Linked DNA regions of Mytilus edulis. The protein of the gene in region 1 interacts with the protein of each later gene in a pairwise test. Links are inferred from orthologs where the notes say so. Each region holds a gene or a part of one and is shown on either strand. Other genes may lie near its edges.

What was found.
Region 2: the proteins of MICOS complex subunit MIC60-like (region 1) and prefoldin subunit 1-like interact in a two-hybrid assay, tested with the Homo sapiens proteins (2 studies listed by BioGRID and IntAct). The link is inferred for Mytilus edulis from reciprocal best matches to the Homo sapiens genes IMMT and PFDN1.

The regions. Positions count from the first base shown.
Region 1 is NC_092347.1:95,494,002-95,500,834, forward strand, and holds the start of MICOS complex subunit MIC60-like, read right to left. Parts: upstream 3,005-6,833; 5' UTR 2,906-3,004; coding exon 2,867-2,905; intron 710-2,866; coding exon 600-709; intron 1-599. UniProt on the Homo sapiens protein: Component of the MICOS complex, a large protein complex of the mitochondrial inner membrane that plays crucial roles in the maintenance of crista junctions, inner membrane architecture, and formation of contact sites to the outer membrane.
Region 2 is NC_092352.1:51,877,738-51,885,279, forward strand, and holds the start of prefoldin subunit 1-like, read left to right. Parts: upstream 1-4,515; 5' UTR 4,516-4,586; coding exon 4,587-4,631; intron 4,632-7,542. Other genes in the region: uncharacterized protein, read right to left, coding at 142-226. UniProt on the Homo sapiens protein: Binds specifically to cytosolic chaperonin (c-CPN) and transfers target proteins to it. Binds to nascent polypeptide chain and promotes folding in an environment in which there are many competing pathways for nonnative proteins.

The DNA.
Region 1 (6,833 bases):
CACACTGAAGTTTTAATGGACAAGTTATGATTTACGCTTGCAAACGTGTACCTTTATTTTACCGACGTTTATACTCTGCAATAAAATCGACAATATTTTAACGTAAACCAAGGATTTGTATAAACGAAAACATTAATATGCATCTGTTCGCTTCCATTATTTATTTCATCTTCCGTCATGTTCATTTTTAGTTTGTATAAACGACTGTTAACGTCATAATCCGACTACGTTTTGTACGTCTATATTTTCCCGGACCATCGCACTTTAGCGTATGGAAGCATCGTACTTTAGCATAGACCATCGCACTTTAGCGTGACCATCCTACTTTAGCGTCCCCATCGCACTTTAGAGTCCTACATATATATGCAAATTACACTTGGTTGAGTAAACATGTAGTTTAATCGCTACTTGTATAAAAACATGTCTAGTAAATTCAATATTTATCTTTTATTAAAGTTTGAAGTAAAATAGTTTTTTAAATAGGCAATCAATTTCAACTATATCTATCCATGTGGACAGCAACACTTAATATTTTTATAAAAGATATTTGTAGATGAGTTTGTTTTACAGGTATTATCCTGCTGATAGACAAATTATACTTTGGTGGTGGTGGCGGTGGTTGTTGTTGTTGGTTAGCTTCAAATGGTGTTGATAGAGGAGGCTGAGGAACCACTGGCGGCTTTGTACTTGTAGATCTTCTTCCATGAATCTATAACAAAACAAAGAATGAAATAAATCTTTTTCATATGTCTTAAAATGTTATCCAGATTAAAATGTTACAAGCAGGAAAATCATGTAAAGACGGTGCTTGTCATTTTGAAATTCTTAAAAATACAATTTGCTTGGTCTGTTTGGTCTGCCATTAAGATTGATTGACACTTAATGGAATGTTTACAAAGCTGGAGGCTACAGACATGGAAGAGGGATTTTCTGAATTTCTAAAATGTTTATAGGCATTTGAAGTCAGGTTTGAAATGGCCATTAGAAAATCTGCATTTCTGTATAATTCTTAATATGCTTAAGAATAACCATGATAACAATGAAAACGTATCTAAAGAATGGTTGTTTTATTCGGCATGTTTATGCGGTATGGGCTTTGCTCATTGTTGAAGGCCGTACAGTGACCTATAGTTGTTAATGTCTGTGTCATTTTGGTCTTTTGTGGATAGTTGTCTCATTGGCAATCATACCACATCTTCTTTTTTTTATATTAGAAGATATTAAAAAACATATTCTGCACTAATTTTGTATGCTGGTATTAGCTTAGAATGCAGAATTTTTCGGTGTGATAAGTACAATTACTAAGTCCTTACCAACATGATGACTGATTATTCAGATTATATCCTGAAATGGTGATAAGTCGTTCATCTAGGCACATTTTTTCTTTTTTTTTCCCTGTAGACTGAGCTTTGTTTTATTATTACCATGTACAAATGTATTGACAAGCAGGGTTACTCATCAATTTTTCTCAGTCACTGAATGTACTATGTATGCCATACTAAAGATGCTGACCCTGTAAAGGGCCTGTTTGTTTACATTCAAATACCAATGGTGTCAAAACCTTGTGATGCATTGAATTCATTCTACCCAATCAAATGGTTTATTATCAATTAGGTGATTTTTTTAAAGACTGAGGCAATTATATTATTTGTTGGAGTGATATTGCTTTGAAATAGTTTGCAATAAATTGGGGGGTTTATTCAATAAAAAAAAACATTTTTAGCCATGAATTTTGACATCAATGGAATTTTATATGAATATTTACCTATGGTCATGATGGTCAGTATATTGATCTTTATATATTGATTGATTTTTTTTTTATGAAAAATATATGTATATACATATTGTTTTTTAATAACCTACTCTATATTCCTGAACAAAATTATGGCATGAACATATTTTTTCCCTAAGTTTTCCTTTCATTTTGGATTGGTTTTTTTAGAGTTAAAATTGTGTAAGACGTAAGGTGCCTGTCATTTTGAATTTCTTAAAAATACCATTTCCTTGGCCTGTTTTGTCTGCCACTAAGATTGATGAAGCTGAATGGAATGTACACAAAAGCGATGGAGCCCGTAAGTGGGATTTTTTGAAGTTCTGAAATGTTTTAAGGCATTTGGAAGTCAGGTTTGAAACAGCATTAAGAAAATTGGCATTTTTAGCAATAATTAAGAATAACAGTGAAAACGTATCTTAAGAAATGTTTTTATATTTAGAAGAGTAGAAAAAACCTCTTCTGCACTATTTTTTTACGCTGCCGCTAGTGGGACATAGTGACATGATTGCTTGGTTTTCCCATGTGATAATTACAATAACAAAGTCTGAACGAACCAACAAAATGACCGACAATCAACTAGGTAGGATCGACTATAGACTAGGTAGGATACTGGTAATTAAACCAATGAACACAGGGGAAAAGTCAATATACAAACTGAGAATTTGTTACAGTGAGACTGTGTGTTCATTCTTTGTGGGTCTCATTGGGGTCTAAGTGTGATGCCGGATAGCCGATTGTTTGTAAACGTGACACGTGAAAGTCAATTTATTGTGCCATGAAAACGGGAGATGAAGTCTAGCGGGACACAGGAAATTACAAAAAATGAGAATTGAATGCGTACATAGTGTAAGCGGGATACGGGAATCTGACAAAACAGTAAGCAATATCCGGGATCGGAACCCCCCCAATGAGACCCTCTTCATTATTTAGGTATCCCATAGCATAGAAGTGTCCAATGGCACCATGGCACTTAAGTTAAGACTTTAATGACAGATAATTTGGCATGACATGTTGTCCAGTACTGATTTTAATCAGCTGAAAAGGGAATCCTTAGAAAAGAAGATATTTGGCATCCTCAGTTCACTTACTAACCTTGATTTTGGGGGGCACTCTAGATGTTGTCCTCCACATTGCTAATCAGTAGGACACCGGCTCTTCAATTTGACTTCCGGTAACCTTCATCAACGACTTTTGTACTCAGCAGATGATTTACATTGTAAGTTTGTGCCGAATCTGAATAGTAACAGATAAAACTTAAACCCAAACAAAAAAATTTGATTGTAAAGCACCATAATGTACAGTTTCATACTGATACCAGTATCAACAAATGAAGGGAAAAAAACACAGAAATAAACCCAAAGCTTAATTAAACTAATGAATCAATGTATTATATCTTATTTTTCTGTTTACCAACGTAATATTACTTAAAAGATCTTTTTCCCAATGTGTATATATATATAGGACGCCTGCGTGTGTGAGAATTTCTCGCTGCATTATAGACCTGTTGGTGACCTTCTACTGTTGTTTGTTCTATGGTCGGGTTGCTGTCTCTTTGACACATTCCCCATTTCCATTCTCAATTTTATAGGCCATGAGACAACACGTCAGTTTTGACTGAGAGAAGAAAATCATCAAGTGCCACGCCACAGTCTAATTAATATATGGAAACTTTATGGTTGTCATATTTAATAGTCATACTTTTGTCATTTTCAAATATCAGAGACATATATGTCTCTGCAAATACATATTGAAGTGAAGTTTATTAGAAAAGTGAGATGACAAAGAAGAATTTCAAAAAGAGCTGGTAAAATCATTTCAGTCTGTCTGTTTATAACTGACAATTTTAGAAAGAATACTAAAGAAAATAAAACTGTTTTTATTAGGCACAGCTGGCTACGATTATATTGAAATTTTACAATAATAAAAAAAAATGTTACATTGGGGACTTATTGTCGGAATGCAGGGTTGGGCAAGGAACTGATTAATTACGAATGTAACAATAATAATTATGCCTACGATTAAATTGCGTTGTTGTTACATTAAATCATTATTATTGTTACATCAATTCCATGTAACTTTAGCCCGAGTGCCTTCTTATTGGACAGGAGACTAGTCAATTAACTTCGATGGTGTGTTATATTTTCCCCACTGATTACTCTGATCCACAATTTGACGAAAAAAGTATTCTGGTCAAGCAGATGACAAACAAAATAGAATGAAATTCAAAACAGTGTAGCTGTGGCCATTGATTGACACATTAAAATCATCCATTGACTGGGACAATTTAGGTGAACGTTTGTATGTAACGACCAATGCTCACTATGTACTTTTTAAAGACACTTAAACTATGGGGTCACCAAAGGTTCTCAACACCTAAATAAAGTAATTCGAAAAATTAATCAGAAATAACACGATATTTTGATTTCTATCAATTATATAAATCAAAACACAAAGGTTATTCCTGATTAATTTTTCGAATTATTTTATAATTAAAGGCGTTAAGAAACCTTTGGTGACCCCACAGTTTAAATGTCTATCGTAGGTACGTCGTGAACAGTGGTCGTTACAGACAAACGTTCACGTAAATTGTCCCAGTCAATGGATGATTTTAATGTGTCAATCAATGGCCACAGCTACACTGTTTTGAATTTCATTCTATTCCAAGTTTCCCGGCTATACCTTATGGTGTTAAATATTGAAAAAAAAATGATCGATAGGTTTTGGAAATATTTCTGACTCAGACAAAAAACCATACCCCCTTTAAAGTTAAACGGTTGCTCCCTTATATGATTAGCGTCGTCAGTTTTACTAAATGATATGTTTGTTGTATCACATGATTCAAAAATGTGTCTCAGGTTTTTAAAACTGATAAATTCCAGCAGAGCACCGACCATTCATCTGAGGAGCATGATTGTTCTTTTCTTAGTATATATCAGCATTATGAAATAAAACAAACTTAACGAAGTTTACGTTTTGATCAAGGACAGGCCTGGTTCTTCTATATACTCTTATTTATAGTTACTTACTTACTTACTTACTTACTTATATGTAATTTTGAAATCTAAAATATAAAAGTGCAACAACACTATCTACACACTACTTTTGATGTAGCATCGTATATATCCCCATTTATATGAAGGACAAAGAGTTATCAAAGGTACCAGGCTTATGATAAGCCATACGCGTAAACACGAAATTTATAAAAATGACCATATAATTGATATTCTTGTCAACACCTAAGTGCTTACTACTGGGCTGGTGATACCCTCGGGGACGAAACGTCCACCAGCACTCACTGAACTTATACATGTATGTAAGTCGGGGGTTGTTTCTTTAATCTGATCACTCTTATTCGTATCAATGCTAGGTCCATTACAAGTCGTTGGTACTTCAGAGGGGCTGATTTGTGGCGTTTCCTGAAGGAAAGAGGGTATAAGTTACTAAAAAATTTGAATGAACGAAACTTTTAGACAAACAGATGATGGAACGGGGGTATTCATTCAATATATAAAAAATAAAATTGAGAATGGAAATGGGGAATGTGCCAAAGAGACAACAACCCGACCATAGAAAAAAACAACAGCAGAAGGTCACCAACAGGTCTTCAATGTAGCGAGAAATTCCCGCACCCGGAGGCGTCCTTCAACTGGCCCCTAAACAAATATATACTAGTTCAGTGATAATGGACGCCATACTAATTTCCAAATTGTACACAAGAAACTAAAATTAAAATAATACAAGACTAACAAAGGCCAGAGGCTCCTGACTTGGGACAGGCGCAAAAATATTTATGTGACTTTAAAACTTTAAAATTATTTTTGAATTTTGGCATCACAGTAAAAAAATATTATTGGTCGAGAAAAGTTATTATACAAACTTTAAAAATTTAGATAAACGTAATGTAAAAAAGTATAAATTATCTGCTAAAAACATCTAAGATTGAGGACTGTCTCTTCATTTTTACACCTTAATTAACATCAAAGAAATCGATCAAATAATTAGCGATTGTTGATTACATGTTCATTGTATAAACATACCTGTCAAAGTACATGTATTTAGCCTTAAGGTAAGTAATGACAACTTTATGACTGGTGATTACGATAGACAAATTGATTTGATCGACGAATTTATTTTTCAAAATGTTCAAGGTGCACCACTTTTTGGTACATGGTGCACCATTTTTGCAAACCCAGGGGGTGGTCACCGGCACCGGGTGACCACCCCCTGGATCCGCCTCTGAGCAGTGGCATAGACCCAGTGGTGTAAATAGTTGTAAAGTGTAGCAGGAACAATTCTGCCTAAGATTCGGGGATGCGGACCACAGCTAATTCTAGTTTGTAAACTGATGTGTGCGGAAAACGACTGATGCCAAAAGTGATGCGCTATAATATATCTAAGTAAATGAAAACCAAAAACTGAAAACAATATATAATTTAATCAACAAAGTACAACTTTTATTATGTAAAGCCAAAAGTGTAGAAATGGAGCATTCATTATGATTTCACATTATCATACTAAGGAGGCATGTAGCAGATGCACTAACCTAAACTCTGGTTGGAAAGCCTGGCTTTCCTTGGTAGGACTGAATGTCAGTCCTCAGAGGATTCAAAATAAGAATCTAAAAGTACTTATATAAAATATATAAATTTCTCACAGAAGGTAACCAAAGAATTTGCAACGATGCAAATATTAAACTTTACAATATAAATAAATATCTTTAACCAATGAATTAAAATAGCAAAAGCTATGTAATTTAACAAATATATCCTCAATAAGCTTCATGTAAATTAATTAACAATGAAATACATCAAATATGAAATTTAGAGTTTTACCAAAGGGAGCTAAAAATTAACTAATAACTCTGTCTGCTACATTCCTCCCCCCTAAGACAAACGAAAAATTTCATCAATTAAAGTCTGCAAACTGAAATGTCTATCAAATTCATGTATCTGCATCAATATGTACGCAAAATCCAAATGTCAGGATCAAACATTAAATCCAAAATACATCAGTTTAAGTTGAATCACGAGACTGTTCAAGGAGACCGCAACACCAGTCT
Region 2 (7,542 bases), on another chromosome or scaffold:
GAGAAAATGTGTGTTCTTCCTCATATGTCAATCAAGAATTTTCAAATGGAAGTCTTCTCATCCAATATTATGATAATGTTTAAAACTTGAAATAAAAATATAAAACAAATACAATACAAAAAAAACAAACAATATACGTACTGAAATCCTGTGCTACAGACTTTCTACTTTCAATGAGGCAAAGAAGGACCATGCATAAACCTACAAATGTAATCATATTCGACATGAATCTTTTAGTCCTACACTAGAATGTATATATTTTTAAAAGGAAGTTATAAAAACACTAATGAAAACATGACAATCAGTTAAGTCATGGGTCGATAACACTTAGATACATTTTTATGAGGTATAATAATCAAATACGATATGATAGAGTAATAAATATAATCATATCTATAAGATCGGCTAAACTTAAATATGTATACAAACTTTCAAAGAATGGGAGAATGTGATATTTGTCGAGCTTTAAAAGCAGGAAGAAATGTGAGGCTTGTCGAGCTTTAAAAGCAGGAAAAATGTAAGGCTTGTCCAGCGTCAAAAAAAGAAGAAAAGTGAGGATTGCCTAGCTTGAAACGCAGGAAGAAAATTGAGGCTTGTCAAGCTTTAAAACAAGGATGTATTGTGAGGTTTATGGTGGCACGGTAGTATTTGCATTCCAGAATTTAGGTTGCTCTTTTGTGTACCCGGCAACAGAGTCGACGCGGGGCCACTAAGCTAATCTGCCCGCTTTGCACCAGCCGTACTTTGAAAAAAAGCCTAGGGTGGGAATCGAACCCACGTACGCCAACTCCGTTGTCCTCCTTCCGTGTGTCTCTTAATGCATAAGAAATACAACCAATCAACAACAAAAAAAAGTCTCCGGCCTACTTAGGTAAATGTATCTAAACAGTGTGATTGGACAAATACAGTATCAACTGAACATACTTTCCCAAACTGAGGGATGAATCAGGTGTAGAAAAATATGAAATAATTTTACATACAGATGAAAATGAATTTTTGAGAATTTTTTTTAATTTTGTATTCACTGCACCATAAAATACCTAAAAGTACTAGTGGCCTTAGGTTTTTTAAAATAGCAAAAAAAGTAAACGGTCATGATACATTTTCAAATTCATTTCTGAATAGTAAAATGAAAGTACTTCAGTTAACTGTGAATGTAGAATTTTTTGCAGTGTTAGAAAGTGGTGAAAATTCTAAAAAGGCTATCATTATCCCTTATGGGCCAGGAAATACTACCGTGCCACCTTATCGAGCTTTAAAAGCAGGCAAAAATGTGAGGATTGTCGAGCTTTCGTTAAAATCTATTACGTTGTCACATACCGTGATGAGCGAATCGAACATATTGAGAAATATTAACACTATAAAATGGTGACAACGGAACGTCATCTTCTAAAAATGGATATTTCATCTCTTTTATCATAATCTTTGGTTTTATAAGATTCCCGTTAATGTTAATTTATAGAAATCAAGATCCAGGAAAGGGCAGTGCTCATTGGTACTACCGTAGTATTCGATTTATTTAAAGTTAGTCAATAGGATTAATATCTTTAGTGTATACATGTATACTGAAGTCGTCATTATTGAGAGCCAATATTATTTGTGTTTTTAATTATGTTTATTGTATTGTTTATTATATTTGTAAAATTCTTCTTCTTCTTTTTCTTCTTGTATCATAAATTATGTTGTTTTGTAGGGTCTTTGCTGATTTGAATCCATGAATTCTAACTCATAACAATACAGAAACACGTACGCAATAAGTGGTGCACAATAAGTCCCCATTGCAATGTCGATAACTTGACGAGATACAGAATCTCCATATTTATGTAATTGTTAATGTACAATTGTTATCCTCTTGTAGCACCATACGTGTGCCTAAGTTGAAATAAATTGTCTTGTCTTGCCTTGTCTTGTCTAAAGCGAACACAAATTTTATCTAGTAAAAATTCAAGGGCAGTTATAGTATCAAAGCCTGTCCAAATCGCATAGTCCTTTTGTTTATTGTTACTAAATTTTTATTTAATGTGTTTACTTAGAAATGTGTTTAGATATAAACACGATTATTTTTTTCAGGGAAGTCATATAGATGATCTCTGGAAAATAAAACTTACTTTAAGTAAAGAAAAAGAAAAACGATTTCTAGTTCACAACTTAAAACTTATGATCTTACATTCCACATTTTTACCTATCAAATGCAGATCTCGATAAATTGCAACATGCAACTAAAAATACATTAAATATATAGATTGTCAAGATATAAAAGTTAGGCATGCTGTTTGCGCATGTTGCGGTGGTGTCAGCGGCTTCAACTTGTTTTTCTTTTTTAATTTGTGATAAAGTAAGTTTTCTTTTTAAATGAAGACCAATAGCGATAAGCAAAGTGATATATTATTATAGTATGTTTTTGTATCAGCATTGGCATATTTTTATGGATATATTAAAGTTTCGCCCCCTGAACGATAGTTCATTGACTGCAAAAGTTTTGCATCGCATACCGCTGTAATACCACCAAATCATAGTACATCCGGTTGCATTCGAAAAAGGGTAGAAAAACATATTCCCTTGAATTTGACAGTTGAAGGTAATTCAACCTATATTTCATTGCAGTAAATAGTAAATGTCTGGGTCATCAACATATATTTTTGGTATTTCAAAGCACCATTATTTTTTTTATTGAGGTTTCTATAGAATATTTTGGAAAAGATTACGGTAATTTTTATTGGTTAAAACCATATAGGCAGGCATACGGCCTTCAACAATGAGCCCTTTTTACTTGGATGTCTTTCGACAATATTAATCAATATATGATGTTTGAACCGAATTAAAATTGCTATTTTGTTAATAAAAAAAATATTTTTAACTTTTGTCTTTAAACAGCTACTATAGGCCGTATGATTGCCTATAATTTCTTAAATTCACTTTATTTGCATTTTGATGGATAATTGTCTCATTTGGCAATCAGACTGCATCTCCTTATCTTCATATTGGACACGTTAAGCTGGTTCATAGCTATTGTCAGAGCATATATATGCCACAAAAGTGTAACCTACACTAATCTATAGCTAATCAGTAGACCAGTTGGTACTGTATTACCTAATTTTAAAAAGACCATATGGACATCAACTAGTCTAACGTTGGAGTATTGAAGAAAACAATTCACATTCATTGTTTCATGAATGTTATGTGCAAATGGGAACTTTTTATACGATATACTAAAAGGCATGGACATGCTGTTTTCATTGACACTGGTAATTTCATTTATACTTTAGTTTATGATATAAACACTATAAAGATGATTTTTAGATCATTTACCAACTGAAATAAATAAAGAGTTTCTACAAGTTTTAGCTTATATCTGGGAACAGCGGTATATCTGTTCCTGCTAATACGGATCTACTATAATAATTTATTACAATAAGAACAGTTACATTTAGTAGTGACATCTTAAGTGTATCTGTTATTCGAATCCGGGTCTGTTCGCGCCCATTCACGTTCGCACCCACTCATGTTCGCCCCCTTTCACTTTCGCACCCTACATGTTCGCACCCAAAGTCCGTTCGCACCCTACATGTTCGCGCCCAATTTTAATTGGTTTTGAGTTTAATAACTTTGTAATCATGTTTTGGCAAGTAGTATTCTTATAAGTATAATTGTTTTCGTTGTCTCAAAATAAAGTGAGACAGCATTTTTTTTTGGTGTTGAATAAATCTTAATCATGTTTTGGATAGTGTATGGTTAAAAAATAAAAAATATTCTTTTCTAAATAAAGTGGGATTCTGTCAACGTTTTATTTTGTGTTGAATAACTCTTAATCATTTTTTGGTTAGCGTATTAATTGCTATAACTTTGTTTCATTAACTTGTTTCAAAATGAAGTGAGATTCTGACTACGTTTTTTTTTTTTGTGTGTTGAATAAATTTTATCATGTTTTGGTTATAATAGTGTATTGTTATATTTTATTGTTTCATTGTTTCAGATCAAAGGGACCAAGCTGTTAAAAACAATTATCTTTTGTGTTTTTCATTTAAAATGATCTAAAATATTCAAATTTTTACTCAAAATGATCTAAAATATTCAAATTTTTACTCATACCAAGCTATAAATACATTCAGTATTTACACGAAAGCAATTAAAAACAATAATCATGATTTTCCAATTATTCAACTGGTATTTGAATTAAAATTGGGCGCGAACGTGTAGAGTGCGAACGGACCTTGGGTGCGAACGTGCGATGTGCGAACGTGTAGGGTGCGAAAGTATATTGGGCGCGAACGGACCTGATACCCTGTTATTCTAACCTTTTAAGGGATCATATGGCGTGGTTTGGGGGATGATCCCACGGTGTTTTTTTTTTTAATTCGTTACAACAAGGATTTGTATATTACTATACACTGAAATCCTTGGTTACAAGTGTTGAACTATTTTAACCATTTCGTTGCAGTGCGTTGTTGTAATGAATTGTTTAGGGTAGTAAGACTTACTTTCTATGGTTCGAGATCTTTCGAATATTGCAGTTAGTCATGCGTTTGTAATACACTTTATATTGATAACAAAACCATGCGTTCTTTACACATTGATCAAATAACAGAATGGCAGCAAAAGCAGGAATGCCCGTTGACATGGAGCTTAAAAAGGTTTTTAAAGAACTCTTTTAGTTATTCTAGATTGCTGTCACATAGTTTAAGAATAGATGTTTTTTCTTTTCAAAACTTTAAGATTATAGACAGAGCTGTTTTCGGTTATGTATCCAGGTGTAATGATAAGTCGTTATACTAAGGCTATTTTTTTCTTATTTTTTCTGTAGACTTAGCTTTATTTTTTTATAACCATGCATTGGCAAGCTTGATAACTCGTAATTGTTTGTCAGTAAATAAATGTACAATGATGTCCCATACGGAACCTTCTGACCTTGTTTGTTTACATTAAAATTTCAATAGCGTCAAAATCACGTGATGTCAATTCGTTATATCCAATCAAATTGCTCTACTGTCAATTAGCGGATTTTTCAGTCTACGGCAAATTACGTTATTTCTTTCTGGGATATTGCTTCAAAATAGTTTGCAATAGTTCTGGGTTTTATTCAACAGGAAAACTCTTTTTTTTGCCATCTCTTTTGACATCAAGGGAATTTTGTATGAATATTTACCTACAGTCATGATGGTCAGAATATCTATCTTTTGATAATGAATAAAAAGAAAATTCTATGAAAAATAAATGTAAATTGTTTCTTATTAACCAACTCTATATGCCTGTTCAAAATTATGGCATTGACATCGTTTTTTCATATAGTTTTCCTTTCATTTTGGTTGGGCTTTTTTCGCGGGAAAATCGAGAAAGAGGTAAGGAGCATGTCATTTTTAAAATCCTAAAAATACGATTTGCTTGACCTGTATTGCCTGCCACAGGATTGATGACGCTGAATGGAATGTACACAAAGCAATGGAGGCCGGAAATGGGATTTTGTGAAGTTCTAGAATGTTTTTAAATATTCGGAAGTTGGGATTGAAACGGGCATTAGAAAATTGGCATTTTTTGGCAATAATTGAAAACAACAATGAAAACTTACCTTTAAAAATGTTTTTTTATTCAAAAGTGCAGAAAAAAACGTATTTTGCACTGTTTTTCTACGCCAGAAGTACCGTAGTGACATCATTGCGGAGTTTCCCTGTGTGTTAAGTTCAAACACAAATACCTAACGAACTGACAAGATGAACGATTTTAGACTACGGTAGGATAATCTTCACATAGTTTAAGGTTCATCATAACAAACGAACAAATATGGCTGTATTTACATGCCAAAAATTACTCTGAGTACAGACTTACCTGTGAAGTTGGAAAAGTTTGCCTGGCATCCACTAGATATAAAAAAAGTTAAATGCATTTTGTGTTTCAGAAAGATAAAATCTCTTGGATTTTGATGGGCATTTTTTTTCCTTCATGCAAAAGGTGTGAAAATCAACTAAGTTGTGGTATAACTATGAGATGCTTCCTCAGGTAAAATAACCGGTTTGTATTGTTTTGATTGTCATTAATTGACATGGACAAGAGGTATCCAGAGGCGGATTTAGGGGGGGGGGGGGGGCAGGGGGCACAGGCCCCTACTTTTGAGAAAAAAATTTGGTTGATTATATAGGGAATCACTGAAGCGTGACGGGAGCGGGCCCCCTCTTAGGCAGCCAGCGGGCCCCCACTTATGAAAATTTCTAGATCCGCCACTGGTATCTTCATAACTTTAGGTGAGTTAAAGAGTTTATCTGAGTCAGTGAGTGGACAGTATCAAAGTAAGGCCAAAATAATTTAATAGTGTGTGTCCGGTTTCCCGACCCTACCTCCGTTTTTGATGCTGACCCTAAACTTTTTATTGACAAAAACAATTTTTTTTATTAAAAATCCGGATTATTCGGTCTGTCTGGATCCTACTTTTCATTTAGAAAACTACAGATCTTCAAAATGTTTGATAGCTTGGACCAATATGGACAAGTAAAGCGTTTCAAGAACCAAGATTTTAAATAAACAAGCATGGCTTTTCCGTAAACCGTGCTGCGTATTAGCTGTCAAATATGCGAAATGTGATCACATGGTTACAAAATATAATGATATTAATTCCGGATAATTACGATATGATGAATCTTTTTGAAGAACACCATGATGGACCTATAGACGAAAAAAATACGAAGTTGGCGCATTTTGCTCAACTTCTTTGCACAGGTACAAGACGACCAACAGTCAGAATCGTTTCAGGATGGACAGACTGTATCTAATTCTACCGGTTATTAAATTGACAAATAATTTATTAAAGAGTAAAATGAGATCAATTTACTGCTAAAGTCAATCCAGCTTTTGTTGTAAAAAATTGTTCTCAGGACGCAACATAAACGGATGTTAATACTTTTGAGCATTTGACTGTTTGAGTTAATGACGGCAAGGGGGCAGACAATGTGTAACGAAAAATAGAAAGCTTTCCCCAGTAGGCAGACATGGTGTATGATTCATGTTCTGACATTTATAAATGAATCTGCCCCGGCACCATGTCTACTTTTATTCTTTAATATTTCTCTGGCTGGTCCCACAACAGTTTATACTAGAGAAGGAAAAAAAATCATGTCCTATTAATCTACAATTTTTTCCATAGATTTAATAAGGCAAATATTTCGCATTCTCACTCTTCTCAAAATTTTGAATTTTAATATTGTCAGAACCCCACTCTGCAAGATTAAATTCTGTTAAACATCAAAACACATCTATATAGAGAGGTTGCAAGGGTATTACCCCTCGAAAAATCATTAAACCGCTGCTTAGCATCAATTTGCAGTGTTTTTACAACTTTAAAAGAGGGGTAGGAATCTGTTCCCACGTGTATACCCTGTGTGTCATTTACATTGTTAGCTTCAACGAGGCCAAACATACACAGCTCGGGTGGATTTTGCTTTTTCCACCGGCCCACGTGGACAGCCCACCCGTGCCCACTCCAGCTATAATCTCATTTTTAGTAAAAATATTGATTACAAATGCTTATCTGCTTTTTTTCAATTGATTGAACTTGCA